4 separate regions of the Mus musculus genome follow, and regions 1, 2 and 3 are each reported to be linked to region 4. The links are microRNA targets in miRTarBase. Many come from high-throughput screens and were not tested one by one. Region 4 holds a microRNA gene; each other region holds the end of a gene's coding sequence.
What was found. Region 4 holds the annotated microRNA mmu-miR-15a-5p (UAGCAGCACAUAAUGGUUUGUG, at 2,560-2,581, shown strand). A microRNA usually pairs through its seed, bases 2 to 8, with sites in the 3' UTR of a target mRNA and lowers its output. Matches are read on the target gene's strand: a 7mer-m8 pairs with bases 2 to 8, a 7mer-A1 pairs with bases 2 to 7 and ends in A, and an 8mer does both.

Region 1: miRTarBase lists En2 as a target of mmu-miR-15a-5p. Seed matches in the 3' UTR shown: 7mer-m8 at 2,262-2,268.
Region 2: miRTarBase lists Stk40 as a target of mmu-miR-15a-5p. Seed matches in the 3' UTR shown: 7mer-m8 at 1,791-1,797.
Region 3: the mRNA of Nfe2l1 is a reported target of mmu-miR-15a-5p. Seed matches in the 3' UTR shown: 7mer-A1 at 1,840-1,846.

What each region holds. Positions count from the first base shown.
Region 1 is chr5:28,169,697-28,173,699 of GRCm38, forward strand. It overlaps En2 (engrailed 2), which reads left to right. Exons shown (of 2, transcript NM_010134.4): 2 at 423-2,494. The coding sequence ends at 739. Among named protein-coding and RNA genes, the nearest start is that of Gm52808, 3.3 kb to the right of the region's middle.
Region 2 is chr4:126,137,962-126,141,964 of GRCm38, forward strand. Stk40 (serine/threonine kinase 40) reads left to right here. Exons shown (of 11, transcript NM_028800.3): 11 at 849-3,068. The coding sequence ends at 1,067. Among named protein-coding and RNA genes, the nearest start is that of Eva1b, 8.0 kb to the right of the region's middle.
Region 3 is chr11:96,816,199-96,820,201 of GRCm38, forward strand. It overlaps Nfe2l1 (nuclear factor, erythroid derived 2,-like 1), which reads right to left. Exons shown (of 5, transcript NM_008686.3): 5 at 1,216-4,003. The coding sequence ends at 2,978. Among named protein-coding and RNA genes, the nearest start is that of Nfe2l1, 12 kb to the right of the region's middle.
Region 4 is chr14:61,630,653-61,634,655 of GRCm38, reverse strand. Mir15a (microRNA 15a) reads left to right here and starts at 2,546; the gene lies at 2,546-2,629. It overlaps Dleu2 (deleted in lymphocytic leukemia, 2), which reads left to right. Exons shown (of 7, transcript NR_028264.1): 4 at 2,173-2,219. Mir16-1 (microRNA 16-1) reads left to right here and starts at 2,684; the gene lies at 2,684-2,776.

The DNA of each region.
Region 1 (4,003 bases), not on the chromosome of region 4:
CTCTTTTCTTCAGTCTTCTCCATCTCCTCTCACCTGTCTCTCGACCCTTTCCCTAGGATAGACTTGGAAAAAGATAAGGGGAGAAAACAAATGCAAACGAGGCCAGAAAGATTTTGGCTGGGCATTCCTTCCGCTAGCTTTTATTGGGATCCCCTAGTTTGTGATAGGCCTTTTAGCTACATCTGCCAATCCATCTCATTTTCACACACACACACCACTTTCCTTCTGGTCAGTGGGCACATGCCCAGCCTCAAGTTTATATCACCACCCCCAATGCCCAACACTTGTATGGCCTTGGGCGGGTCATCCCCCCCCCCCCACCCCCAGTATCTGCAACCTCAAGCTTGGGTGCGTGGGTTGTGGATAAGTAGCTAGACTCCAGCAACCAGTAACCTCTGCCCTTTCTCCTCCATGACAACCAGGTCCCAGGTCCCGAAAACCAAAGAAGAAGAACCCTAACAAAGAGGACAAGCGGCCTCGCACAGCCTTCACTGCTGAGCAGCTCCAGAGGCTCAAGGCTGAGTTTCAGACCAACAGGTACCTGACAGAGCAGCGGCGCCAGAGTCTGGCACAGGAGCTCAGCCTGAACGAGTCTCAGATCAAGATTTGGTTCCAGAACAAGCGGGCCAAAATCAAGAAAGCCACGGGCAACAAGAACACTTTGGCGGTGCACCTCATGGCACAGGGCCTGTACAACCATTCCACCACGGCCAAGGAGGGCAAGTCGGACAGCGAGTAGGGCGAGCAGGGCGGGTGGGCCGGCCGGCCGGCCAGGTCTAGGGCCGCGAGAAACAATGCAATAATTTTAAAACCGTGAACAAAAGGCCAGTGTATAAAGATTATACCAGCATTATCTGTGAAAATCCAGTGTATTAGCTATGGTTCTACAATAATCTATGTACATATAATTTACAGGTGGTGTAAAATCCAAAAATCTGACTATAAAATATTTTTGAGTTTTTTTTTTGTGTTTCAGAGGTTATGCTAATTTTATGTTATTATTATTTTTCTGCAAAGGGGACTGTTTAGGGTTTCAGATCTTTCTTTCATTTTTCTTTTCTCCCTTTTTTTAATCCCTTAAATTCCATTATGGGACATTGGACACTTCTTCCCCCGAAAGAAAAAAAATTTAAAACAACTTGCTGAAGTCCAAAGATTTTTATTGCTGCATTTCACAGGACTGTGAACCGAATAAATAGCTCCTATTTGGTCTGTGGGCTCTGCCGCTTGCTTTGTGCTGGCTCGGACAGCACTGTAGGAAGCGCCAGCCAGAGTGGTGATGGAGAGCTCTGGTGGGGAGAGAGGGCGCAGTTCTTTGCTGAGGTCTGAGAAAGTCCTTGCAGGCCAGCAGCTCTCCCGGAACCTCTCCGCCTGCTTCCTACGCAGCCTCTCTTCTCAACCATCTCAGAGGCCCGTGCTGGCAGCCACCGTGTGTCTGCGTCTGTGTCGATGACCCCTGTCCGCCACAGCCCCGTAGCGACCTGCCAGCGCCAACTCTCCCGCCACCGTGGCCAGCGTTGGGGCCTGGGGAGCAGTGGGAGTGTGTCCTGAAGGCTTGAAGGCTTTGCTGCCGGGACAGCTAGCCCTGACCCAAAAGCCCTCACCGAGATAGGCCTTGGGGCCTGGCAGAGCGAGTTGGAATCATCTTCCTTTCCTTTTTCTTCCCTCTTTTTTCTTTTTCATTTATTTTTGAATGGTAAATACATGTATGTGTACATACTTGTGTATGCATGTGCACGCACACCCCAGGCCTGTGTGAAGCTGGGGTTCTGGAGCTCACAGCTACCTTGACTTTCAAAGGAACTCGAATCCTCCCGAATCTAGAGGACATGTGTAAATAATCATTTCTTATCATGTTTTTGTCTTTTTTGTTTTTTTTTAAAGAAAATATACATTTTATTTTTGAAGGTGTGGTACTGTGTAAATTAAATATATTCAATATATCCTTCCAAGTATATATATATATATATATATATATATATATATATATATATATATACAAAAAACACATTATATGTAACTCCACAATGTCTTCTGTTTAGTGTATGGGAAAAGGTGTCCAAACATCCACCTGGGGCCAGCACAGTGGCCAGCGTGTTCTCAGGCTGCCTGCTGAGGACCGATGGTGGATTTCTCTCTTTGCCTTAAACCTCTTTATTTCACTGCGCCAACACTTTCTCTTTGTACATATTCGTGCCAACCTTCTGAAAAGGAAGCTATAAAAACAGAAGTTGTAATTTAAGAGTCTGTGAATAACCATCTGCTGCTTGGGGGTCGGTGGAACACATGCCTTTTAGCAGGAAGCAAATCTGTCCTTTTTTAAGTTTATAAAATGTGCATTTTACAGTATCAAATATTTATAATCTTATGAGAAATGGGTGAATGTTCCCTACTTAAAACTGTGGTTATCAAAATTGTGACCATTCCAATCTGTGAATTTTTGTGTGTTTAAATTCCTGAAAGTTACATTAAATAAAAAGAAATAACTCTTTAATATAAAATGTTGGGATGGAAGGTAGACTTTGTCCATGTCTGTAGCTGAGATGGTCTCCCCAGCACCCAGGTGCTGCACCTACCCTTGAAACAAGAAACAAGAGAATATTGTTTCTTTTAAATAGCAACCTTTGAAAACTTAACATGTAAGCTCAGAATTGAGGGTGAAGAAATGAATTAAACCATGATGTTTCTGCTCACTGAACTATCTCAATGGATGAAATCTAACAGGTCTCCCCCACCCCTCTCCACTGCCCATAAATGGTGCAAGCGTTCTCTGTTGGGCTCTGTGGAAGGACTTGTGGTCTTCAAGAGATAATGTCTTCCCCTAAATGCTATTTTTGTTTCTCCCACTTCCAATCCGCAAAGGGAAGGATCAAAATCTGCAGGATTCGGGGGAAGGGAGCGCTGAAGTACCCGGATCTAAGGCAGTCCGTGAAGCCAAACTTACTTGGCTTGAAAGAAAATTGTTTTGTCCTGTTTTGTTTGTTTTTTTTCTCCCAGGAAGAGAAATTCAGAGAGTGTCAAGGATTGCCTGCTGCCAAGGGTAGTTTCAGTCCAACATTGGCCGCTTTCGGACAGATGTTGGGCCACTGCTCCTGCCATGTAGGAGATCCACAAGGAAGAGAATTGGACTCACTTTGAGGGCACCAAAATCTCTGTTACCCAGGAGTGTGGCAGGGTCATCATGGGGGTCAAGGTGACACAGTTTCTTCCTCAAGGCCTCATCTTCTACACATTCCTTCAAAATGCTGGCACAATTTACATTATTCTGTTGGCCTTTCCCATTTTAATAAAACATAGTAACACCCATTTTTTTCAAACTGTACCGTTGGGAGAGGGGGTACACCTCTTCAAGATAATGAGAGCCTGGGTCCCACAGGCAGTCCAGCAGACACCCCTGACAATAATGCCAGGTTTTCAGGTTTTTGGTATTGTCTTGTGATAGGGCCCTAAACTGGAAGGGACTTCAGATCCTTGGTGTTCTTGGGTTACTCTTTGCTCCTGTCTGTATTCTTTTTTTTTTTTTTTCTTTTGCTTCAAAGGCATGTAAGCAGAGCTGGCAAGGCACAGGGAGCCTGTGCTGCGCTGCTAGACTTACTCTCTCAGCTGGGGTGAGCAGAAAAATAGTTCCCACCAGCTGGGAGGGCAAGGCATATTCAGGGTTACTGCAAGTCCTCCAATTCTAACCCTACCTCTGCAGTACTGTGTGCTTTGGATATGGGCAGGGCGTCCTGCCACTGGGCCCTGGCTAGAAGGAGGTGGGAATCCCAATTAAGAGGGGAAAGCTCCTTTGTGGAAAAATCTTTGCCTTTTGGATCTCAATTGTTCTCTGCTTCTGCCGATGGCCTGGGCATGTGTCTGTATCCCTCAAGCTGAGCTCATTCTACAGTTCTCCACAACCCACTGAAACTTGGGGAGAACCTAGCAATCCAACCAGGAATAGGTGTGACCTTCAGCCCTTTGGCCCCAGCAGTGGAGCCTGAATGGACTGAAGAAGTGCCGCTGC
Region 2 (4,003 bases), not on the chromosome of region 4:
TGGGCCTCTGGGGTGGCCTCTTCCTGCCCCAGTCACAGTTCTCTCCCTCTCTGACTCACTGGGTTCTCTCTCACCCTTCCTGCTTTTCAGTTTTTACATGATTCATTTATCCCTCTTCTCTCTCCTCCCTGTTCCACAGTAGAGAAAGTGCTGGGCGAGGGGTGGGCACAGAGACATGAGTGCTTAGGCAGCAGCTGTGACAGGTTTCAGGGTGCCCCGAGAGGGAAGCTGGGCCTTCCCTGGGAGCACTGGCCGAGTAGGACCAGGAAGAGCTGTGAGTGGAAGCCCACCCGGTTCCCATTCAGTCCACCCTAGGGCACGTGGGTCCTATTTTTACCTGAGGATCGGAGAAGTACACTGATGTGTCCACGGTCACACAGTGTGGCAGCAGGGGAATTGTGCCTTGATTCCAAAATCCTGCCTTCCCACTAGTCAGGACCTGCCGCTGGAGTCTTCCATCGCCTGCCTAACCCCCACACGTGTCAGCCCCTCAGAGTTCCAGAGACCCTTTGTGAGGAGACACCCTTCACTGCCACTCTACTCACATGCACACACCGCTGCACCCTCCCCCTCGTACACACGTGCTCTACCCTTACCTCATACGCCCCACCACCACACACACGCACCCCACTATGGGGAGGATGCTATGCAGCCTAGAAGGCCAGAGGAAAGGGTTGTGTGTAGCTAGAGCTTCCGGCAGCCACTCACATCAGCCAGCAGGGCCCCCCACTCAGCCTGTAGGAAGATGGCGCTTGAACTGTGGTACCCGGGAAACATGACCTCAGCAGCCACACTGTGCTGGGCTCCCCGAGTGCTTGCTGTCTTCACCTTGCTCTCTCCCCTCACAGGCAAAGGTGACAGAGGAGTGCTCCCAATACGAGTTTGAGAACTACATGCGACAGCAACTGCTGCTGGCTGAAGAGAAGAGTTCCATCCATGAGGCCCGGGCCTGGGTGCCCAAGCGGCAATTCGGTAGCATGCCACCGGTCCGACGGCTAGGCCACGACGCACAGCCAATGACCTCCTTGGACACAGCCATCCTGGCACAACGCTATCTGCGGAAATAGTGCCCTCAGCTAGGGCACTAGCCCAGCACACCTCTTCTCGGCCCACCTGAGGCCCAGCCATCGGGCCTGCCTGGGCCCGGGCCCAGCAGTGCTGGACTGATTCTCCCAGGCTGCAGTAGGGATAGGGCAGGGATAGGGACAGCCCAGGTCACAGCCAGGGTCAACAGAGGTACCACAGAGCTACCTTTTGGGATGATTGCTTGATTGTTTTTTTATCTGAGAATTCTAGATAGATAGCTAATCTGCTTTTAATCATGACATTTTAATCTACCTCTGTCTCTTTAACCACGCTGTCTCTGGACTGAGTGTCAGGAGGGAAGAGGGGAGTCTACGCTCACAACCCAGGCACTGGACAGCTGCAGCCTGGCTAGGCCACTGACCCCACAGTCCATATAAGCTGACCATGCAGCTCGCTGCTGGCCCCCAGTAAGCACCCCTTCCCACCGTCCACTCCCCGTCCCCGGGGGCCTGCCCTCAGTCTAAGCTTTGGAACACTCTCACCTCACCTGCCGCCCAAGTCAAATCTATTTATTTTTTTACTGAACCCAACTTGTATCTCTAGGTTCAGCCCTTGGCCACTCTGGCCCTGAGCCTGGCTGAATAGCAGGGCCCGTGTGTGTAGGCTCCCTTCTCACCCCAGGCACCTAGGAGCCCTCTTGCCAGTTCCTCTCTCGCTCTGTTTCCAGACCTGTCTCTCTCTCTGTCCTGGCAGCTTCTCTGAGGTGCTGCTCGTTTGCATTAGTCCCGCCTCCTCCATCTTTCATGTGGTACCCAGGTAAATGTGGACATAGTGTGAAGGGACCTGTGGCCACCAGAGGATGCTCTGGGCCTACTGAGGACAGGCCACTTGTGCTCAGAGAACCTCACCTCACCGCAGAAGTGGTGCCTCTTCCAGAAGACTCTGGAAGATTACCTACTTGGGGGTAGGCCTTGGAGGGAAATCTGTAGGGGTGGGGACCTTCCTACCTTCCTGGCTTGAGAACAGCCCTGCTACCCTTTTTGAGCCGAAATTTTGAAGTGGATGCCCGTCTTGCCAGAAACGCTGTTCTCTCCAGAATGCCCCTCCCTGCACTGGACTTGGCACACCCAAAACCAAGCAAAGACCCAACTCCGGAGGCCTACCTCCTGTGTACCCTCAGAGAGGGCAATGTCACCCTCCTGGTAGGTAGTCCTAGACCCCTCCTGCCTCTTGCTCTCCAATGGGGAGACCATGTTTCCTAGAGTGTGAGCTGCCCCTCACCCCCTGAAAAGCTGACTCACTGTGAGTGACCTTGGGCAAGTCCCCAAACCTCCTTGTGCCTCAGTTTCCCCATCTGGAAAAAATGGGGCCACCTCTTGCCAGCAGTAGCAGGGCTGCCCATGCCCCTTCCTCCCCATGCCCCATATCCAGCCCTGGGCTCCTGTGCCTCTGTTTTGCTGGGTCTGTGGAGCCCACTTGAGCCCAGCAGTTAACTCCCCTGGCACTCAGCTCTGCCTCTAGTTCAGCCGCCCAGCCACTGAGAGTCAGGGCATGGTGCTGCGGGGGAGGGCTCTTTTCTATATTTATTTGATAGCGATAAGTCTCCGAAGGGAGTGGAAATGCAGTCAGCCTGGGCCCTTAGCCCATGACTACCCTCCAGTGAGGCTCTGAGGCCTGGCTAGGGCCCTCCTGGGCAGAGCCCCTGCCTAGCCCTTCAGGCCTGATGCCTCAGGCCTGATTCCCTCCTTTTAAAGCAATACCTTCAGGTCTGCCATGCCATCAGCCAGCCTGGTTCCTTCTGAGGGCAACCTGGGTCTGGTGGTATTTCTGGTGGTGCAGATGAGGGGAGGGTGGGGCCCTCGCTGCTGTCAGGCACTGAGAAGTCCTGTTGTAAAGAAAAACAAAAACAAAAAAACAAAAACAAAAACAAAAAAAACAAAATGGAAAAAGTCACAAAAAAGTTTGTATAAAGACGTATTTTTGTACTACATGGGGACTCTTCCTGCATGTCAGCAATAAAACTTCCTGATCTGGAGCCACCATGGTCTGTAGCCTGCCTCTGTGCTTGTCCGTGCGCTCTCTAGCCCTCCCTCCATCCCTGCTCACAGCCTGGGCATCTGCATTTCAGCAAGCAAAGCAGCTAAGCCCTACTGTCTGAAGTGGAAGTAGGAGGGGACCCAGGATGTCATTCCCCCTGTCAGGGCCTAGACAACTCAGGAGCTGGGAAAAGGAGCTGCCCTCCCCTTTTCCTGTGCTGCCCTCCCCTCCTTGGGAAGCCCAGGGGTGCCCGCCTTCCTTCCCACCTCCTTCCCTTGCCTAAGTTTAGACTGTACATTGTATTTCCCAACGAAACCAAGAAACGGAGAGCTTCCTGCTGAAGGGAGAGAGGTAGGCTAGGCCATCCCACAGATGAAGCCCCCCAGAGGTGGGCCTCATTCCCAGGACAGCGCTGCTCTGCCCCTTCCCACAGCCCACACACTCTACCATTCACAGACCCCCTACTCCGTGTGGCCCTGACTGCACTACCATGAAGGGCTCTTTCTCTCAGCCCAGTACTGCCAGCTGCCCTAGACCAGATACAAATAACCTCTGGGGCTGTCTAGGTCTCTCTGTGTCCTCAGCCCGCAGAATTGGTATGGCTCTAGTTTATTTTGGTTTTTGCCTTTAGAGGTTAGACAAAACAGCCCCATTTCCTTAGACGTTAATTTTTTTCCTTCCTTTTAAGACAGGGTTTCTCTGTGTATCCCTGGAGCTGTCCTGGAACTCACTCTGTAGACCAGGCTGGCCTTGAACTCAGAGATCCACCTGCCTCTGCCTCCTGAGTGCTGGGTTTAAAAATCTATATTTAATCCTTTATGCCTATGGCTGTTTTGCCTGCATGGATGCCTCTGTACCAAAGGGTAGAAGAGGGCATCAGGTTTCTGGGTTAAAAGTTAAAACTGAAACCCGGTCCTCAACAGCACCTCTCCAGCCCCTG
Region 3 (4,003 bases), not on the chromosome of region 4:
CTTCAGGGACTAAGAGAAGAGGTGGAGGTCATCTTGGGCTACATCTGTGACTGGAAAGATGTCTGGGGGGGTTAAGAGCACTTGCTGTTAGCTAGGTCATAGTGGCACAAGCTTTTAATCTCAGCACTTGGGAGGCAGAAACATGAAGACCTAAGTTCAGGCGAAGTCTGGCCTACACAGCAAGTTCCATACTTACACAGAGAAACTCTGCCTTGAATAAACAAAAAATTAGTACTTGCTGCTGTTGTGGAGGATTTGTGTTCGATCCACGTGGTGACTCATAACCCTTCTAAGGGATTCATTGCCTTTCCTGGCCTTTGTGGGCACCAGCACACAATGTGGTACACAGACATACATGTAGACAAGGTATCCATACAATATATAAAAAAAATTGTTTCCTTGCCTTGCTGGGAAGAGTGGTAGAGAGGCAACCACCAGATAATAACTGTATGTGGATCCCCTAACCAGTTTTCACTTTACAACCTGGATAGTCTCAAACTTGCAACCCAACTACCTCAGCAGCCCGGTTGGGGGATTATAGGTGTGTATCCACTATTCACAGTGGGTAGTTTCTTTTCCTGGAAATTGAAATAAACTACTTCACTGGTGAGACCCATGTGGTAAAGTTAGACAACCAGTCTCTTAAAGAGTAAGACAGAAAAATCTTTTGAGTGAAGTTTAGGGACTGATGAACCAAGACAAAGGGCGCTTCCCCCCATGTCAGACCCAAGGTCCTGCTGCAGAGGTGTGTAGGTCAAAACTAAGGCCTGATTATTCGGAAGGTGCTACCACCTCTCCCTACTGTCTTAGGTGAGTGGGTAAATGGCACCAGCCCTCTTAAAGGCCTAATTTCTGCAAGCAGCAGCCCAGAGGCAAAGGCCAGCCCTTCCTACCTAGAAATTGAGGATGTTAAGTTGAAGCAGGCAGTGTGAGTTCTCAACACACAGGACATCTGTAGCATGGCGCACTTCACGGCTAACAGGTCCCATTTCCAGGCCATGACTGCAGTCCAGCAGTGCTCTGTGCCTCTCCAGCACAGCACCGACAGTCAAGCCTCTGAGAAGGCTCCCCTGATCCAGCAGGAAGAGATGGCATGGGCTTCACTGCAGAGTTCTTTTGTCAGTGCTCCCCGCCTTCCCACCTAAGCACACAATGGCCAGTCTCCCAGCTTCCGTGACTCTCATCTGAATTCAGAAGGGAGAGGGGGGAGAAAGTGCACTTAAGCTGAATCATCCATTTTATTTGATTTTATTTTGTCATGTGCTCACAGCATTTCTTTCTCTCCTCTCCCTGGCAGGTCACAGAGATAAATTAAAAATAAAATCTACAAGGAAAATAATTTATAAAAAGCACTCCCAGGCTCACGCTTTCTATCCCTACTGCTCGGTTAGGAAAGCCCTCTGCCCTGCCCAGGGAGGAGGATCAGTGCTCCCCCCCAACCCCTGCTCGTCTGGGGCAGGCAGTACTCCAGAGCTGACCAAGATTGGGGGTCAGGGGGCGGCAGTGGCAGTTAAAAAACAAACAAACAAACAACAACAACAAAAAACCAACAACAAAAAAAAGACACTGTGGTCCTGGAACCAACCACCTGGCTATCTTGGCGCTGCCCCTCACTGCCTCCCCCAGGGCTGTCCTCCAGGAGCCCAGGCTGAACAGGCTGTGAAGAAGCTGCCTGAAGCTGAAAGCCTAGGGGAGGGTCATCTCCTGCCCCTTGCATGCACTTCTCATTTTCCTAGAAAGAAACCCAAAAAAGAAATCAAGACCAGACCTCGGGACATAGGAGAAAAATCCCAAGTGTTTACACAGTTAACACGGAGTCTTTATGGCAAAGAGAACATTTAGCAGCTTTGAATATTGGGGCATCTCCTTTTTACTCAACACAAGCATCCTAGGCCCTATAAGTGTAACAGGGCACACGCCCTAAAAAAATCAAAGCGCAAGAACGTCTAAGAGGACTAGGTTTTGTTGCTGGGGTTTATAGGCTTTTGTTTCCCCCAGTGAGGAGCCCAGGTGTTGGTAGGCAGAGGGGCCTGAGGGAAGAATCACTTCCCAGTGTTGTGCTGAATGGTGCCTGGATGTCACTGGGACCACTCCTCCACACGTGCCTTCCCTGTTTAGACCCTGCAGAGGAAGCTGTAGGCCAAGTTCCAGATACTGCCAGAATAGCACCCCACTCCAGAGCTGGAGGCAGCTAGTGAGGGTGGGTATCAAAAAGAGGAGGAGAGTGGAAGAGGACAGCATTTCCATGCAGGCTCTCTGAGGACAGTGGGAGCCTCGGCTCTGGGATGGCCAGGGAGGGAGGTGGCTGTGGCAGGGCAGTGTGTGACATGCTTGATGCTGGGCTGCTGCGACACAGGCCTCGTTCTCACTTCCTATACCCTCTGCCCTCCTCGGCCCCTACAGCTTCCCATTCAGTAACTAAGATATTACAGGTGCATCCAAGAGCATCTTCCCTTCAGGGATGCAAGAGTTGAAGAAACAGTTACAAAGGCCTTCTGGGGCCCCGCCATGTCTGTGTTCCATACCAGTAACTCTCCCTAGACCACCGTTGTCACCTGCACTCGCTGCCTAGAAAGCTGGCCAAAGCCCTTAACAGTCGCTCTGGTTTTTCTGACTGCTTTGATTTTCGGGGGATTCCTTCCTTTTCTCCTTCCAGCAATGAGATCTCCCACACTTTCTCTCCTTCACTCCACACAGCTCCTCTACTTCCAGCATGCCGACACTACCCTCCCCTCAAGAGAAAGGGAATAGGCTGGGGACCCCAATCACCCAAGCAGTCTGGTCCTCCCTGCCCACCCCAAGGGGGCAGCTGAGCCAGACAGCGCCTGCGCCCGCCTCTTCGGTGCACTGACCCGCAGTCATCCCATCTGAGAAGATATATTGGATAAGAAGGCATTTAAGTCCCCAATGTTAGGTCCAGGCCCAGCCCTTCTCCAGTTTCGGTCTTAGTGAGCGTCCACCCCCTGCCTCCCCAGGCTCACTTCCTCCGGTCCTTTGGCTTTCTCTCCTGTCGCCGAGCCTGCTGGTCAGCCATCGTGCGAGGAATGAGGAGGACACTGCCATCCCCAGCATACTGAAGGGCATACTGACTGGGTGAGTAGGGCCTCCCATGCTCATCCCGCAGCCGCCCAAACACCTCCTGGTATAAGCTTTGGACCTTCTGCTTCATCTGTCGCAGAGACCGAAGGAACTCTACCTTTTCTCGAAGCAATCGGGCCTTATCTCGCTGCAAGTCCTCCACATCACGTTCTAGGTTTAGGATGGTGTCCAACTTGCGCTTGCGGCAGTTCTGTGCAGCCATCTTGTTTTTGCCCCGGCGCCGGATATCCCGGATGAGGCTGAGCTGGGCCTCGCTCAGCTGGTATTTGGACAGCAGCTCATTGAATTCTTCTACAGGCAGGTTGATGATCTTGTCATTGGTGAATGGGATCTTCATGGCTCGGGCTCTGTGCTCATCTCGGCTCATCTGCTTGTCCAGGAAGTCAGCCTGCTTTTCCTTGCTACCTTTCTTGAGGGTGCTGGGTGGTGGTAGATCAGCAGAGTCAAGGGCACTGGGTGCCATATTGTATGTATGATTGTGGCCCACATGCTCTAAGTAGGGAAGGCAAGAGAGCTGAGAAGGATCCTGATAGCTCATGCGGCAGAACTTGGAGTATTCCGGCTGGTAGCCCACTGCACCCTCAGCCTCTTCTAGGTCTAGGGTCTCAGAGTCAGAGCTGTAACCAACAGCACCCTCCTCAGAGAAGGAAGAAGAGGCAGAGGAGGAAGCAGAAGAGGAAGAGGAGGAGGAGGAAGAAGAAGAGCTCCCTTCAGAGCTGCTCAGAGAGGAAGGGCTATGGCTGGAGTCCAAGGAGAGGCCTGAGTCAGAGTCAAACTCCTCTTCGAGCTGGGAAGCCTGCACCGGGTTGAAGCCCTCCTCAATGGCCAGGTCCATCAGGCTGATCTCATCCAGCATAGCTTCGTCTAACAGGCCCCCAAGGGGGTCAGGTAGCTCAGGGCCTGA
Region 4 (4,003 bases):
CTCCATGTGGGTGCTGGGAACTGAACCTGGGTCTTTTACAGCAACAAAATGCTCTTAACCACTGAGTAACTCTGCAGCCTTGCAACTTGAATTTCAAAAATTTCCATGTAAAAAATGAGCAAATTGAAATACATATTCAGTTGTCAGTGATCACCATACCTGACTTGGCCTAAACAATCAGTTTAGTTTTCCTTTCATAGCCATTAAATAAAATTTGGGTATGTTGTTGTTGTTGTTGTTGTTGTTGTTGTTGTTGTTGTTGTTGTTAGAACAATTTCTTTTTCAAATATGTTACATAAGCTCATTTTCCTAGAAAAAAATCACATGGAAATGGAATTTTTAACTATTTAGTAGTATGCCCTACAAATGATTCTGTCACTTTTCACATATCAAATTTTAGAACTAGGAATTTAAAATGTTTAGAGAAGAAACAGTTCCAAAGATTTTATAGTGGCATTATTGCCACATCAAAGATATTAACATACCCAGCTTTTAACTTCCCAAATTTGTTGCAGTATTTCATGCCTTTAGCTTTGCTATTTAAGTAGATTTTTTGTGCCCTGAGAATTGTTGCTCTGTCATCAGAACTTAAACCTGGTAGTGTTTTCTCCATGTTCTTAGACAACTTCATAAGATGGCTATGGTTCAGAAGCGTCCTACAAAGGCTTATATGTATGTTAATGGTTCATTTGCAGATAGGGAACCAGAAAGGGTCAGTGTACTAGAATAACAGCCATGGGAGACACTCAAAGGACAGTGTCAGGGTTCGGACCTCAGATTCTGTATTCTGTCATTGTGCTCCAACAAATTACTGGTTGCTTATTATTAAATTCAAAAAGTATCCCATTATTCTGATGCAGTCAAGATGATGATATAGCTTGGGCAACATGCCTATAAATGTTTGTGAAGTGCTAAGCTTTATGGAAACAAGATGAATTAATATTAGAAGTTTTATAAGGTAAAAAGTAAATGTTTCTAAAGAAAAATATTAATGGAAACAAATAGAGTTGAAGGGGGAAATAGGACAATTTGGTTTGATCTATCTTCTTAAATTGTTGTAAAATTCTGTTTTCTTATACGAATAATATTAATTTCAGGTATTTAAAGATTGCCATGTATTCCTATGTACACTCAAGTTACCTTCTTAAGCAAAACATTTTGTTTTCTTTTCAGAATGGCTTTTTTTTCCTTTTAAGAACATTAGTAAAAAGTTGAACTATGTAAAAACCCAACAAAGAAAAATTATTTTGGTCCTTAGGCCAGAATATAAACCACTGAATTTGGAACGGGGCATGATGGTGCACGCCTTTAATCCTAGCATGCAGGAGGGAAACCAGGCAGATAGATCTCTGAGTTCCAGTCCAGCCTGGTCTATAGAATGAATTGCAGGACAGCAGCCACTGTCCTCAAAACCTCTCTCAAAAAACCACTGAATTTGAAATTATAATCATTGTATAAAGATAAAGGACAAAATCACTTTTAGCAGCTTTTATCTTTATTTTCAGACTTTTTTTTTTTAAGCTGGCACACTTGAAAGCAAAGGTTTGAAGATTTAAAGACGTTTTGATATTTCAAATGACCCAACATGAACGGGAATGGAGAAATGGCATTGACCCACTAGAAAACATTTGCTACACAGTAATCTAGTTTGAATGGAAAATCTGGTATGAACTGGAATAATAAGAACAGTTCTTTGTGAAGGGATGGCTAAGTCCCCCACTAAACAGAAAAGAGTCTTCTTAATAGTGTAAGAAAACCTAGATATTCACACACACATAAAATGAAGTTGGAACTTAACGTAGTAAAAATTTTGTTTCAGCTAAGTCAAAGTCCTGTGGTATAAAATGATACTCCTTTAAAGGACTAGCCTTTTTAACTGGGAAACACACAAATGGTTACTTAGGCTTGAGCTACAGGATTTCTGATATATCCTTTTAGGAAACCAAATAGACCTGTTATCCTAAGATGATGTTCTGGGTAATAATAAATGACACTGAACTCACAATAACTATTCCAATATTGAGATAAATCTTGTGTTCATGTGTAGATTGGGGGTTATATATTTTTGGGGAATATGTTTCATGTGTATGTCTTCTAAATATTTTGCTAGTATAAATTTCTTGAAACTGAGCTCTTACATGTTTGTTCTTACATGTTTCCTTTAACATGAAGCTTTGTCCTATGGATTTGGCTTTGAAAGATGTGCTGCTCTTAATAAGGTAAAAACCAACTTTTGTAGCTATTTCATGTGTTAAGCACATTCAAAAGTTGTTAGTTTAATAAATGAGGTTCTTAAGTTGGTATGGGAAAATGACTTGCTTTTCTCGTTTCATGACTACAATAAATTACAGCACTGTATTAAGTTTTCTGTACGCTTTTATTAAACTTATGATATGGAAATACTTTTTATTCTGCTGAAAGCCTATAAAATTATGCACATACCAGTGTTAGATTTTTTTCAAACATAGATTTTATGTGTTCTACTTTTTCCTAAAAAGCCTTTTCTGTAAATTACTATTGAGGTGCTAGGAGTTTTCAAAACCAACCCTTGGAGTAAAGTAGCAGCACATAATGGTTTGTGGATGTTGAAAAGGTGCAGGCCATACTGTGCTGCCTCAAAATACAAGGACCTGATCTTCTGAAGAGAGTACCTGTCTTTTTATTCATAGCTCCTATGATAGCAATGTCAGCGGTGCCTTAGCAGCACGTAAATATTGGCGTTAAGATTCTGAAATTACCTCCAGTATTGACTGTGCTGCTGAAGTAAGGTTGGCAATACTCTACAACTGTAATTCAATGTGTATTGATGTTACTTGTGTGTTTACACGGTTTTTCTAATTGCATTAGTGATTTTATGTTTGGTATGATTCTGTAATGATGTTAGTAACAACGCTCTACATATTGTGTCTGTTAAAATACTATATAATTGTGGGATGGTAATGCAGCTCAGTTGGCCAAGTGCTTCTTGCTAGCATGCACAAGGCCATGGGTTTTAGCCTTACCACTGCATACCAGGTACACTTGTAATCCTAGATCTGAGGAAGTGGAAAAAAGAGAATTAGAGGCTTAACATCATCCTTGGCCATAAAGCAAGTCTAAGACCTATGTAAGGATCTGTCTTTTAAAAACAAACAAAACATAATGACTTCTGTGTGAGGAACTGATTATAGGACTTCTAGATACCCAGATTTGTAAATGCTTGGATCTCCTGTATAAAATGTCTGCTCGTGACCAGTGCATATCCTCCCTTATACTTATTTAAACTTATCTCTACATTGTTTTTAATGTGTAGTGCAGTGGGATGTTAACATGGATAGTTGTATTATTCAAGTTATTCTCTTAATGATGAGAAAAAAACTGTACAATTCAGTACTAATGCAGTTTTTGTCCAAGAAATAAGTTTTTTGGTTTGGTCTTTTGAGCCTGGGTCTCACCATGTAGACCAGGCTGCCATGAAACTCACTGAGATCCTCTTGCCTCCGCCTCCCAAATTCTTTGTTTAAAACTGTAGGCCCCAATGCCTGGCCACCCAAATGTTTTGAATGTGTGGTTGGTTGGATCCACAGATGGAGCACTGACTAATAATATAACAAGTATTTTTAAGTCTTGAACACCTTTCCAGAGTTTCTTGAGAGCTACAGTGGTACAGAATATACCCAGTACCACCAAGGCTCGAGCTCTCTTTCCAGCATTTCCATATAAAAGTTTATTTGAAAGAGTTTAGGAAGTACCAAATTGTACATGAATTTAAACTCATATTATTACTTATAATAGAAAAATACTTTTCTCTTGATTTGAAGTTTTCTTTAGATACAGATAAAGTTTGAAATGCTACAGATTATAACATAATCTTGAGTATAATGTGCCTAAATATTTCATTTTAAATGAAGGAGAATAACACTAAAATGTGTACGTTGAATTTTTAAACTTAAATTTAGAAGAATCCTTAGAATAGCTGACCTTTTTATTGGTTAACTGAGGAAACAATCTGAAATTTAATTTG